Linked DNA regions of Cricetulus griseus. The protein of the gene in region 2 purifies or fractionates together with the protein of the main gene of each other region. This does not show direct contact. Links are inferred from orthologs where the notes say so. Each region holds a gene or a part of one and is shown on either strand. Other genes may lie near its edges.

Region 1 (4,260 bases), on a different chromosome or scaffold from region 2:
TATTTTTTCCACTCCAACACATTTTCTCCAAGACAGATTTTCAGAACATTAAAGACAAGCAAGCACACAACAGGGAAAAGTGAAGGTTAGTAAAAGCAGATGGAAGAGATGGAGTTGGATAAAAGATTACACTCACAGAATTCCAGAACCAGTATTATATCAATTCCTCAACAAAACACCAAAGTGTGAAGAAGAAAAAAAAAAAAAAAGACAAATGTCAAATGTAAAGAAAATACCCAAATGTACTTCTGTCCCTTCCCACCCTCAATCAAGCCTATCCTAAGACCTACTCAATACAAGTAAGAAGTCTATCAGGGTCGAGAATGAATAACAGATAAGACTAAATCTATGAAAAACAAGTGTAAATTCAGGAAGCCACAGAAAAACCTTTTTTTAGAGCCAAGAAATGTTTCTGTAGTACCTTCCAACAATCTTTTTTTTTTTTTTTTTTGGTTTTTCGAGACAAGGTTTCTCTGTGAACTTGGGAGCCTATCCTGGCACTCGGAGACCAGGCTGGCCTCGAACTCACAGAGATCCGCCTGCCTCCACCTCCCAAGTGCTGGGATTAAAGGCAAGCGCCACCAAGCCAGGCCCAACAATCATTCTTAAAAGTCTAAAAATACCAATCCTTTCTTCCTCTAAATCTAAGGCCTATATTGCTTCATTTGTGTCCTCTGTGAAAGGCTTTTTTCTTTTTCTTTAAAGATTTATTTCATTAAGATGTATTTCATTTATTATATATACAGTGTTCTGCCTGAATGTTTGACTGAACACCAGAAGAGGGCATCTGATCTCATTATAGCTGGTTTTGAGGGACTATGTGGTTGCTGGAGATTGAACTCAGGAGCTCTGGAAGAGCAGCTCTCTCTCCAGCCCATGCAAAAGGCTTCTTACAATCTTCCAATTTACACACACTTCCACCATTTCACACAAAAATCCGCCCACTCCATACCTGAAGAAGGCTAAGTAAAATGTATTAAAAATCATGATTTTGGTGACCTTTCAGGAAAGAGGTGTGTGTGTGTGAGAGAGAGAGAGAGAGGGAGAGAGAGAGAGGGAGGGAGGGAGAGAGAGAGAGGGAGAGAGAGAGAGGAAAAGAGGGGGAGAAAGAGAGAGGGAGGGAGGGAGGGAGAGGGAGACAGACAAGAGAGAGAGACACCACCCTGGATCCAAAGTAGTGCTCAAGACACTAAAAGGGAATTACCAAAACCAGGCAGCACTTAAAACAGGAGCACAAAGTATGCAAGCCTTCCAAAGTTAAGAACAGAAAGAAACCAAGTTGCCAAGGGAAAATAATGATCAGAATGACAAACTACAAGAGGCAGAAATTTAGAACTAAGACATTCAAGATAAAAAAAAAAAAAAAAGGTGGGAGGGGCACCTGAGAGAACAGCAATGGGCCCAGGAAAAGGACAGAGTAAAATACTGAGAACTCAGGGCTGAGACACTATTAACTATGTAAACACATGTGTAACATACGCAGCTCCAATATTAACCCAGGAAGAGACCTTACCTAAGCCCATCCAAAGGAGAAAAAACAAGACTCCTTTTGAATCTTTGAAACAGCTTAAAAGAACTGCAAAATGGAAACAGCATAGGAAGAAATTCATGCCAAGTAATGGCTGACACAAGCCAGGCTGTTTAAGCCCAGAATTGCCTTCCCATTGAAAAGCTGCAAAAGCCACCCTAGCTGTATCATTTGAGAAGACATGTTTAAAAAGCAGGGTAGGAGGCGGACACGGTGGCGCATGCCTTTAATCCCAGCACTCGGTAAAGAGGCAGGCAGATCTCTGAAGTTCCAGGCTAGACAGGCTATCTCATAAAACCAGAAGGTAAAAAAAATAAATAAATAGCCAGGTAGTAGGCAGGAGCACATGATCTTCCTTATACACGCGGACTGAACACGTTCGTTTTTTTTTTTTTTTTTTACTTTTAAGATTTGGGGATACCCGACCCCGCCACCTCACACACACTCATAACCTCAGCGCTCTAAGGACAAGTCCGGGCCTCCCGATGTTCAAGGCCTCCCAGCGCTCGCTCACTGGCCGCCGGGCCTATTTTCGGCCTTGAGAATGGGGGAGGGGGCCGCGCGGCGCCCGCCCGCCCCGCAGTCTGAGGCCCGGCCGTTTCTCAGGCCCCCAGCAGGGGCAGGAGGGCCCACGCCCGGGTCATCGGGGTGGGATACCCGCAGGTCGGAAGCCCGGGCGGGGCACAGGACCCCCCGGCTGCCGCCCCCTCCCCGCGACTCAAGACGGAAAAGGGCGAGCGCGGAACGAGGGTCTCTTCAGACCCAGGTAGAGCAAAGACGGCGGCAACCAGAGAGGCCCGCGCGCCGCTATCTCCTCGGGGACGCGCGGACGGGAGACCAGGCGGCGGCGGCGGCGGCGCTGCGCGCGCCGTTGCCATGTGGGGGAGGGGCGAGCGAGTGGAGGGCCGCGCGCCACCGGAACCGCGGGAGGGGAAGGGAGAAGGGTAGGAGAAGGCGTCCGCGCGAGCCGGGGCGCCGAGCACGCGTGCGCGAGGCGGCCTGGGCCGTTCTCCGAGCGCCCTGGCCTCGAGCCGAGACCGCCGCCCCTCCCCCACCCAGCTAGCGCGCTCCCTTTCTCTCACCCGCCGCCGCCTTCGGCCGCCGCCTCCGAAGGGGAGAGGTCCTGCCGCGGCCGCTGCTAAGGTCTTCGGATCCCTCGGGGCCTGAAGCCGCCGCCGCCGCCTCGCGGGTCCGCCCGCCTCAGCCGCCTCCGCCGCCGCCGCCTCGTCCGCTTCCTCAGGGGCCGCAGCGGGCTTCGACTGCGCCACTCGCACCCCGCCTGGACCGCGGTGCACGTCAGCACGACCGAGTGCGTCAGCACGCAACCACGAGAGGCGCTGGGCCCTCTGGGAGCCGTAGTGCGTTGTGCGCAGGCGTTGAAGGCACACGATGGCGATATAGGTTCTTTTTTTTTTTTTTTTTTTTTTAGGCGCAAGGGACGTTCGGTAGCGAAGTCGAAAAACCCCGAGTCCCGTCGGGCACTGCGGGGGAAAAGCGGGGAAAGGCGAGGCACCGTACCGAAGAGGCAACGTCTGCTGGAAATCTTCTGCGGGAAGGGGGAGGGGCACGGGGTTCTCTACCCGCAACGTCGAAGAATGCCTCCCGCCCCCCGCGCAGAGAGTTCTGGGAATTGTAGTTCAGCTGTAGAGAGCGCGTCGCAGAGCACCTTCTCCCGGCAGTGTCGCCATTTTGTCTGCCTGTGTTGTGTGGCAATGGCTCAGCAACTCTACCTCTTCCCTGTGACTGCGGGTTTCTTCAGCAATTCTGAGGGCACACAGCACCGGGTCTCCCGCTCTCAGGAGGAGTTGCTCCAAAGTCAAGTCTCCTAGCACCCCTGGAACCACGTAAACCGACTCTGGTCCAGGTTCTGAAGCAAAAGCCAAACTAGTCTCTTGCGGTGTCCTTAGTCTTCACCATCTTAGACGGAGCTGAAATGGGGCGGGCAGGCCAATGAGAAACCGTTTCTCTTGCTTGGCGGTGGTGGAGCACACTTCTAATCCTAGCGCTCGGGAGGCAGAGGCAGACCACCTTCAGGACAGCCAGGGCTACACAAAGAATAGGGTTGTCTCCAAAAGAAAGTTCCCTTACCTTTGGGTAGAGAGACTAGATATTCCTCCTGTAGAATCTGTGCTGTGTGTGAAGGAATGTGCCAAGAATAACTTTAAAATGTTATCTCTTCTGTACCATTCCCTGTGCCTTGTAGTGCGGTACTGGGAATTGATCCCAGAGCCTTCAAATGTGCCAGCAAGGGCTCTACCACTGAGCTGTACTCCAGGCCTATTACCTATTTAATTTATGTATTAACGATTTTGTGGGCCGGGCGGTGGTGGCGCACGCCTTTAATCCCAGCACTCGGGAGGCAGAGGCAGGTGGATCTCTGTGAGTTGAAGACCAGCCTGGTCTACAAGAGCTAGTTCCAGGACAGCCTCCAAAGCCACAGAGAAACCCTGTCTCAAAAACAACGTTATGTGTATCCATGTTTGTCTGTTCAGGGTATGTGCAGTTCCTGTGGGGGTCAGAGGCATTGAGGGCTTGTGAACCAGCTGAGGTAGGTGCTGGAACCGAACTTTGTTCCTCTGCATGAACACTACAAAGTCTTACTGAGCCATCTAGATATCCAGCCTACCCCCATTCATTTCTTTTGGTTTTTCGAGACAGGGTTTCTCTGTGTAGCTTTGGAGCCTATCCTGGCACTCACTTTGTAGACCAGGCTGGCCTTGAACTCACAAAGA
Region 2 (5,532 bases):
GTTCCCTAACAGTACTGCCACTCATTAAGATTGCAGCCACAGCCAGGGGGAAGCCTGATACCAAGCAGTCTCAGATCTAAGACAGGAGTCCAGGATAAACTGGGTGTGATGACCCATGAATTAATCCCGGCACAGAGGCAGGCAGAACTCAGCCTAGTCTACATAATGAGTTTTAGGTCAGCCAAGCTACATAGTGAGACTCTCTCTCAAAAAGAAAGACAGTCCGAATAGTCCCCCCGCCCCATATCCTACGGCCTTTGGTAGGGACTCCAAGCTAGTGCTGAAGGAAATGACCAGGACAAAGTGGCATGGAGAACTACCTCCCATGTAGTCACCAAGGGATTAAGTCTTCAGAACCTAGTAACCACTGGCAGCGGTGGTACATGCCTTTAATCCCAGCATTCAGGAGGCAGAGGCAGGTGGATCTCTGAGTTTGAGGCCAGCCTGGTCTACAAAGGGAGTTCCAGAACAGCCAGAGCTGTTACACAAAGAAACCTTGTCTCAAAAACAAACAAACAAACAAACAAAAAACTAAGACATGGCTCAGAGGTTAAGAGCACTGGCTGCTCTTCTAGAGGTCCCGAGTTCAAGTCCAGCAACCACATGGTGGCTCATAATCGTCTGTAATGAGATCTGATGCCCTCTTCTGGCATGCAAGCATACATGCAGACAGAACACTGTATATATAAGTAAATCTTAAAAAAAGGGGGGGGAGGGGGTCCTTCTGTTTTTCACTGGTGGCCTATAAGCATGTTTTAAAAGTCCAGAGAGACTGTCCTTACTACAGATTGTTTTAGCATATTTTTGACAGGACACAGGCAAGTCTCTTCAGTTATCAGTTGTGACCTTCCCACCAACATCAAAACTAAACCCAAACAATCAGCCACAGTGGTGGTCCTTTTGATCAAAAGGGCATGGCTGTTAATATGGTGACAGAAGAGGACTCAAGACATTAAGACTGTCACAAGGCCTGGTGACACATGCCTTTAGTCCCAGTACTGGGCAGGCAGATGGATCTCTGTGAGTTCAAGGCTGGCCTGGTTTACAAAGCAAGTTCCAGAACAGTCAGGGCTAACCCTGTCTCAAAAGAAAAAAACCTAAAAGCTACCTAAATAAAAAGGAGGCATGGGTATATGGATCAGAATAATAAAGTTAGGAGAGTACATGCACAAAGGCTTGGGTTCAGTGGAGAACAGCACCCCATAAACTGGCTGCTGAGACATGTCCAAAGGTGTCAAGGTAAAAATGCACACATACACCCCAAACACTAGGTGTAGAGTGCAATGGGTATGTATGTGTCCAGTGCTGCCTACAGGGTGGATGCCAGTCAATGAGAACTGAGCTTGCCTGAAAGGCAGTAGGAAGCACACAAAAGAGGGAAACATCTCTATTTGAGATGCCTAGAGTTCTTGCTTACCATGGGGCTGATGAAGTACTCCTATCTGAAAGAATACATTACCAGGAAGACAGCAAGTAATAGGCAGTGCCTATTACTAAGTGTTCGTGTGTGGCATGCTTGCCTCTGTACTCAGCTGCACCCCTTTGCTCTCACTGGTCAGAACCCCAAGAAGAAACTAGCCCACAAGAAGTCTCAAAGCTACAAAAGTTCACTAGGCTGACCAGAAACCTAACTGCCCTTCTGTATAAGATACAGGCCTAACTTGATTGATTTCTACATTCCCCCACCCCAGTTTGAGAGCTTCAGTCACATCCAAGAGCCTGCTATGCTGGTTCTTAACACTTTTTAAACATACCTACTGACTTGCCCCAACTTTTCCTTATCAAGTTGTTTATATGTTTTTTTGTTTGTTTTAAGGAAATGAGGTCAGTCTGTTCTATACAATCTTTCACATTCTCCACGGGGTGCAAAGCATACCTGGATAGGCAAGGAAGAGACTGGGCTTTTATGCTGAGGTCAGGAGGCGGAGATAAGCGCTTGTCCTAACAAAGCCCCATAAAGGATTTTGGCTAGGGAAGGTCAAGTAAACAAGACACACTGCTACAGCACTGCCCAAGCCAAAAGGGATCGGTGCTACTGGAGGACAGGAATGTCTAATGTTGTGACATTTAGCAAGTAGCAGGACAGGTCTTGGTGATAAGCTGGGAAAGTTATATTGATGCTGTGGCTAATCTAGTTGTAAACTTTAACACATCTGAAATCAACTAAAACCCATGCCTGTGGGGATTTCTGGATTGAATTATTTAAGGTAAGAAGATCCAACTTAAATCAGGGCCACACCTTCTGTTGGCAGCCAACATAAAACCATGAATGAATGAAGTTTTTGCCTACCTATCTTCACTCTCCTGCCAAGTTCATCCATCCTGCTGTTGAGCCATTCTTTCACTGGTATTAGAACCTACTTATTCAGAATTCCAACATGGAATAAAGCTGAGATATCCAACTTTGTGGACCGAACACTAACAGACTCTTAGCCTTTCTGTTGAGAGACAGCCACTCTAATCTGTGTGTGTGTGTGTGTGTGTTGCGTGTCCGGCATGGACACAGATATATATAAAACATAAATGGAGGTCGACCAGTTGTCTTGTTTTAAAATAATGTATAGAGGTTTACCAGTTGTCTCTGTGGATTTTTTTTTTTTAATGGAGGTAGACCAGTTGGCCTTTTGAACTTGATTGACTGATTGATTGATTGAATTTTCCCCATTCTCAATTCTGTTCCTTTAGAGAATCATAACACAGGTATAAAAAACAGAGTATCAACATCTGGAAAGCCATGTCTCAGGGAAGGTTGAATCCCTTAGGAACTGGGAGGAGAGGAAGGTGATTGTGTGGCTTCAACATGTAGTATGCGCATGAAAGAACATCTAGCCAGGTATGGTGTAAGAACCAGAGCTCCATGCCCCATCTGTTAGTCATGTATACTAAATACACTTGAGAAAACCCAGAAGTTCTAGCATATGGTTTAGAAAGAAACGATTCACTAAGGCTGCAGACAATAGATGGAGATAGATAATGATGAGTCTTTACATACAGAACACTGAGATCTCATCCTTTTGAGTCTGGTTACCAAGCACTACTTAAATTCTCCACACCTGGATGGTAAAGCATCTCCACTTCCAGGATCAGGAAGCCAGGGATAAAGACAGGACCAACTGACCAGATCACCTCATGCCTTATCCTGGAGACACAATGGGATGTGGTCCTTTTATAGATAGGGCAAGTGACTGGGGTAATCCTACCTGTTAAAAGCCTACACCAACTGGAGCTGGAGAGATGGCTCAGCGATTAAGAGCACAGATTGCTCTTCCAGGAGTTGGTGTTTCATTCCCAGCACCCACATAGCAGCTCATAACTATCCAACTCCAGTTCCAGGGAATCCTATGCCCTCTTCTGATCTCCCACATACAGATAGGCAATACACTCATACATGTTTTTTAAAAACTAATAAGGCATACAAGAACTTTTAAAACAGAGAGCCTAATCCAAGAGCTATGCTTGGCAAGTGGTTGCTAGGAAAGTGAACTAACTCTGCTTTCTCAGGCACCCAGGAGAATAGTGGCTCAGGTATGACCTGGTAAGAGCAGCAAAATGAAGCCAGGCGTTGGTGGCGCATGCCCTTAGTCCCAGCACTCAGGAGGCAAAGGCAGGCGGATCTCTGTGAGTTCAAGACCAGCCTGGTCTACAAGAGCTAGTTCCAGGACAGCCTCCAAAGCCACAGAGAAACCCTGTCTTGAAAAAACAAAAAACAAAAAACAAACAAACAAACAAAAACAAGAGGAACAAAATGAGACTGGAGGGGAAGATTGATAGGAGGGAGGAGAACCTTACACATTTTCAGCTCTGTCTCCACTTCCTGCTGTCGCCGTTCAATCTTTTCCCGTCTCTGCCAATAGAAAGAAAATGTAGAGTTAAGTGCAAGCAGGGGTACCTGGACTACAGGGATCTCTGGAAAAAAGTAGGTAAAAATATAGCAAGACTAAGAAGTGCCTGGCGGCAGCGGCGAACCTTTAATGCCAGCACATGGGAGGCAGAGGCAGGCGGAATTCTGTGAGTTCAAGGCCAGCATGGTCTACACAATGAGCTCCAGGACAGCCAGGGCTACACAGAAAGACCCTGTTCTGAAAAAACAAAAGACTCACGTAAAAACAACATACCTTTCTCTCCATGCGTTCTTCCCGGGTTTCTGCCCTTGTTGGAGGAGGGGCATCTCGAGGGTCCTAGGAACAAGAGAGGTGATGGAAAATAGCATGGCATACCAGCAACGAAAAGACTCTCAGTTCCCCCCCATACACAAGTGCCATTAGTTCCAGTATAAACAGAAGACAGAGGGTGGAAGTGGTCCAATGAGGACCAGTGCTGCCCAGACTACTGGAGGTCTGTGGCAAGGACAATACAAACATCTCTACCAGGTGTTGGTTGTGCACCTCTTTAATCCCAGGACTCAGGAGGCAGAGGCAGGCAGATCTATGAGTTCAAAGCCAGCCTCGTCTACAGAGCAAGCTCCAGGACAGCCCAAGTAACTTTACTAGAATAATTAAACGGAAAGAAAAAAATATCATTTTTGAAGGTACTTTTAAACAAAACACAGAAACAATTCCCTTGTATTTAGCAAAAGCATCAATCACCAGGGATGGTGGTAGTCCACGCCTTTTATCTCAGCACTCAGGAGGCAGAGGCAGGTGGATCTCTGAGATCCAGGCCAGCCTGGTCTACACAGTGAGTTCCAGGACAGCTAAGGATACACAGAAAAAAAACCTGTCTCAAAACAAAACAAAAAAGCACCTACAATGACTGGTAGACATTTGTTCTTCATCAGAGTGTAACATAAGTTACATAGCTGTAAAGTACAGTTCCAAAGCTACCTGGCAAGAAGAAGAAGAAAAAAAGCAGGGTGGTAGGGGTGCACACCTCTAATCCCAGCACTCAAGAAACTGAGGCAGTGTAGCTGGGCAGTGGTGGCACACACCTTTAGTCCCAACACTCGGGAGGCAGAGGCAGGCGGGTATCTGAGTTCTGAGGCCAGCCTGGTCTACAAGAGCTAGTTCCAGGACAGGCTCCAAAGTCACAGAGAAACCCTGTCTCAAAAACCAAAACCAAAACCAAAACAAAACAAAAAGCTACATGGCTCCCAAAGGAATTCTGCAACTCCCCACAGTTCCAAACAGAAACCCCAAAGAGTGGAGACACAAGACTTTAATCCCAGTACTTGAGTACTTGAGAGCACAAAGCCAAGTAGATGTATCTCTGCAAGCTTTAAAAAAAAAAAAAAGACAAAATGGGGCTGAAGAGATGGCTCAGCAGTTAAGAGCACCAGCTGTTCTTCCAGAGGACCTGAGTTCAATTCCCAGCACCCACATGGCAGCTCACACCTGTCTGTAACTCCAGTTCCAGGGGCTTTATGGCACCAAGGAAGCAGCATGCATATGATAAATAAGTTTTTAAAATAAATAAGTTTTTAAAAAATTCTTTTGATAGGTATTGTTTATTACATTTCTTTCTTTTTACTTAATTTTTCCGTTTATCTTACATCCAAAATAAATAAAGGAAATTAGCTGGTCCTGGAAGTGGACA
Region 3 (4,027 bases), on a different chromosome or scaffold from region 2:
GAGTATGTTAATATATATACTTATACCAATACATTTGTCAGAGGTATTGGCATCTACCACTGACCCTATGATAGACTGTGGAACCAGGAAGCAGAGGCAGGTGGATCTCTTGAGTTCGAGGCCAGCCTGGTCTACAGATCAAGTTCCAGGACAGCCAGAGCTACAAAGAGAACTCCTGTCTCAAAAAACCAAAGGGGTGGGGGTGGGGGGGTGAAGAATACATAAACAGACTAAATCATTCTGCCAATTTGTATAAATGTTTGTTTTGTTTCTTTCTGTGAACTTTCAGTAAAGTAAGTAGCCTTGATTTTCTAATTTCCTACAAGCCTCTTCAGTTCAGTACATGTATTATGCCATCACCTAAGTATAAAACCAAATGCCACAGGAAGCCAAACAGGGTTGACACCCTCTTATTTAACTGGAAGTACATGAGAAGAAAGGAAGGCTAAATGGAAGACTACCTAACCATGGACCTGGAAAGGGCAAAAGTTCAGGACGGCAGGTCTTGAGTAAGGACCACAGGTCATGTGTTTTGTACATAGCCCATGCATCAGCAATACCTCCAAATGCCTTGAAGGTTCCAAGACTGGTATGAAACTGGGGAGACCTTTCATCAAAATACTTCTTACTTTCTATGTGGTCACCACTCAGTAGTACTATGTAGGGATTGTATAATGAAATGGCTGAAAAACCAGGAAGGAGTGAACAGTTGTCCTTTAGCCTAAACTTACCAAAGTTGGTTTTAAGGCTATTTATGTAAACTTGAGTATTTGATCTTATTCTCCAGAAAATTACATTAATACTAAGTTGCAATAAAAAGCATCAAAAAGAATCTGAAATGACATCAGTAAATGATATTGGGAAAGACAGGGACTCAGCAGCTAACCTGAAGGTCTTTTGGCAAAATGGTATTCTTTCTGAGTGAATTGATCCGAAGTCTCTCATCTGCATATTCATAAGCCATTTTTCGTCTCTTCACATCACGCAACATTTTCCAGTCTACATAGTAACCTCGAACTTGACTTGATGTTGATGGAGGGACTGCCTAAAAGACAGAGACAGGATCACAGGCACTGCAAGTGTTTTTCCAATCCTGTAAACTTCTTTCAGTCTCTACTTAGGACTTTTGGCAATAAAAAAAAAAAAGTACATTTATTTGGCACATATACATGCACACAAGTGCTTGTGTATGGATGGACATGTTTGTGAAGGTCAGAGGCCAACCTGTGAGTCCGTACTGTGTGTATGTGAATGGCCATGCATGTGGAGGTCAGAGGACAACTTTCTGTCAGCTCTCTCCTCTACCACGAGTCCTCACATTGAACTAGACAGGCTTGGTGGTAAGCATTTTACCCACTGAGCCATCTCACCAGCCCAAGACTTAGTATTTTAAAAAACTGATTTATTACATTTATTTATTTGCTTGTGCATGTACATACTATAACCCAAGTGGAAATCAGAGGACAATTTGCAGGAGTTCCTCTTCCTTAAATCACTGTCCCCTGCTCCCAATCCCTAATGTTCCGGTGACTTTAATGTTCCTTAGTTATTAAATCAGAAGCAATGTGAGGAGAATTTCCAAACTTCCATACCTATTCACTCAAATGTAGCTTTTGTACTACAGTCTGTAACCCCTCCAGGGTTATGTCAACTTTCTGTTACAGTGGCCGCTAGACATGGATATGGCTGTGAGCAGTACAACTGGGGACATAATTCTTGATACTAAGTCACTTAAATTTTCAAATAGCAAGCAACTTTGTTTTTGGCACAATTGCGTTTTTCCACTATATCATTTGCAAAATTTAGCATCCCAACAGCAGTATGTTTTAGGTATAAAACACAAGTAAGATTTTGAAAACCTACTTCCAACAGAGGAATGTAAATGTCTCACAAATCACTATATATAATCTTGACTTGTTAAAATATGGATATACCTGGCTAAAAATATCTATCAAAATTAACTTGTACCTACTTTCTTACTTCAGTTTAAATACTAGAAAAAATACCAATCACCCTTGTTTGGCTTTACATTTCTATTGGACAAAAGTGCTAGACGTGACCTGTACATGATCCTGAGATCAAACTTCATACACGAGACCCTATGTCACCTCCTGCTTGCAAAGGCAGAGCTCTGGCGATCCTTCCCTGTTCTCTGGATCATCATTTCCCACTTTAGTGGGTCCCCCCCCCCAGACGTTGTTGTTTATATCTGATAACGATATCTTACGAATATGATGTTCCTTCTGTCGTGGTAAAGGAAAAAGAACTAAGTAAGGTCTCTCTCTCTGTCTCTGGCTGACACCGCCCTCCCCACCACCCCTTGCAGAACTCTCCCGAACACTTCTCCAATTTCCTTTGCTGTTTTTCCCAGTTTCTGTGCGCATCGTAACACTGTCACTCCTCAAATCTTTCATTAACCTTCCAGTTTTAGCGGAATGGCCTGCTCCCTGTTCGAAATTCTGTCACCACCCGTGAGGCCTCAATCCTCCGGTCCCTTTTCTGTTCTATTTACACGCACGCAGCTCCTGAAAGCCGGGATCAACCTCTCAGCTTTCAAATCAGGGCTCCACGCTTAAACACCAAACCCTCCTTTGCCGGTTAGGCCTCTCCGAACCAAGCCGGAAGGGGAAAGCGGATGGTAGGAGGCCTGGGATTGGTCCTCCGTGTGCATGACAGTCCCCAGGGTACCGGGCAACCCACAGGACACGGGGTTCAGGGGTGAGAAGTGGGCTGGCGAGAAAGGCAAGGGCCTGACCTGCCGGAAAGTCCGCAGCAGCGAGCCCAACAAGGACGCCGCCATGTCGTCCGCCCCACCAGCCAACCGCTGCTGCGTTACAGCGCCGGAAAAGGTAGGTTGTGGGGCGGGGCCTGTGGCTAAAAGGGCGGGCCCGGGGCAGGATTTAGCCTATAAGGAGGCAGGGGCTAGGTACGGGATTTGCGCTCTCACGGTTTTTCACGGGACCCGGGAGAACCATCCAGTCGGCCCGCCCGCTCCGGAAGAGGTGGTGCAGTGAGCACGCGCGCTGCTCTCTTTCCCGGGGCCGGGTTGTTGCCCCGCCCAACCTGCTCTCGCAGTCTCTGTTGGCGGAAGCTTGCCGGCGTCTGTCACTCGTCCTGCGGAACTGGCACGTGCCGCGTTCCTGCCGTAATGGTGACGGATGTGATGATGGCAGTGGCGCAGAGTTTCTATTTGCGTGTCTAGGGTTTTAATAATACACATTGTATCTGTGTATTTGTTCCTCTCTCCTCTCTCCTCTCTCTCTCTATTGTGTGCCATTGAAAACTTCTGTTTTCATATAGTACAGGGTACTTTGCTGAAAGTACTTTGCTCCTAGCCTGATTTGGTGAGGAACCGCCCATTGGGCTATTTACATAGGGACACCCCAGTACAAAAGAGAACTTTTTCTTTAGTGATTCCAATTTATTGAACAATTCTCTTTAAAAAAAATAATTTATTTAACTTTATTTTATGTGCACAAAAGTATCGGATCTCCTGGAATTGGAGTTACAGACAGCTGTGAGCTACCATGTGGGTGCTGGGAATTGAACCCAGGGCCTCTGGAAGAAGAGCCAGTGCTCTCAACCACTGAGCCATCTCTCCACCCCTTATTGAACATTTCTTTTTTTTTTAAGACTTTATTTATTTATTATGTATACAACATTCTGCTTCCATGTATATCTGCACACCAGAAGAGGGCACCAGATCTTATAACGGATGGTTGCGAGCCACCATGTGGTTGCTGGGAATTGAACTCAGGACCTCTGAAAGAGCAGTCAGTGCTCTTAACCTCTGAGCCATCTCTCCAGCCCCCCCCCCTTTGTTTTTCTTATTGAACATTTCTAACGGATTAGAGAGAGTCAGACTGAAACTATCTGACAAGAGTAGACAGCGGGATCAAAAAACTCCTACACCAGCCTCAGCAGGCAGACATCGGTCTCAAACCCTTGTTCACACCCTTCCGGAACTCCCTACAATTGTGCGAAGTCTATAGTCCTCTCTAGACATGGCTACACTGCAAACCCTTAT

Evidence for each region. Proteins that work in one complex are often made in the same cells at the same time.
Region 1: the proteins of Snrnp70 (region 2) and Srrm2 purify together in Homo sapiens (affinity purification with mass spectrometry; 3 studies listed by BioGRID and IntAct, counting the BioPlex papers as one, with this or other methods). This does not show direct contact. The link is inferred for Cricetulus griseus from reciprocal best matches to the Homo sapiens genes SNRNP70 and SRRM2.
Region 3: the proteins of Snrnp70 (region 2) and Mrps14 purify together in Homo sapiens (affinity purification with mass spectrometry; 3 studies listed by BioGRID and IntAct, with this or other methods). This does not show direct contact. The link is inferred for Cricetulus griseus from reciprocal best matches to the Homo sapiens genes SNRNP70 and MRPS14.

The regions. Positions count from the first base shown.
Region 1 is NC_048600.1:43,318,587-43,322,846, reverse strand, and holds the start of Srrm2 (serine/arginine repetitive matrix protein 2), read right to left. Parts: upstream 2,801-4,260; 5' UTR 2,611-2,800; intron 1-2,610. UniProt on the Homo sapiens protein: Required for pre-mRNA splicing as component of the spliceosome. As a component of the minor spliceosome, involved in the splicing of U12-type introns in pre-mRNAs.
Region 2 is NC_048599.1:154,296,166-154,301,697, forward strand, and holds part of Snrnp70 (U1 small nuclear ribonucleoprotein 70 kDa), read right to left. Parts: intron 4,179-5,532; coding exon 4,116-4,178; intron 3,845-4,115; coding exon 3,790-3,844; intron 1-3,789. UniProt on the Homo sapiens protein: Component of the spliceosomal U1 snRNP, which is essential for recognition of the pre-mRNA 5' splice-site and the subsequent assembly of the spliceosome. SNRNP70 binds to the loop I region of U1-snRNA.
Region 3 is NC_048598.1:31,845,527-31,849,553, forward strand, and holds the start of Mrps14 (28S ribosomal protein S14, mitochondrial), read right to left. Parts: upstream 2,801-4,027; coding exon 2,756-2,800; intron 1,046-2,755; coding exon 887-1,045; intron 1-886.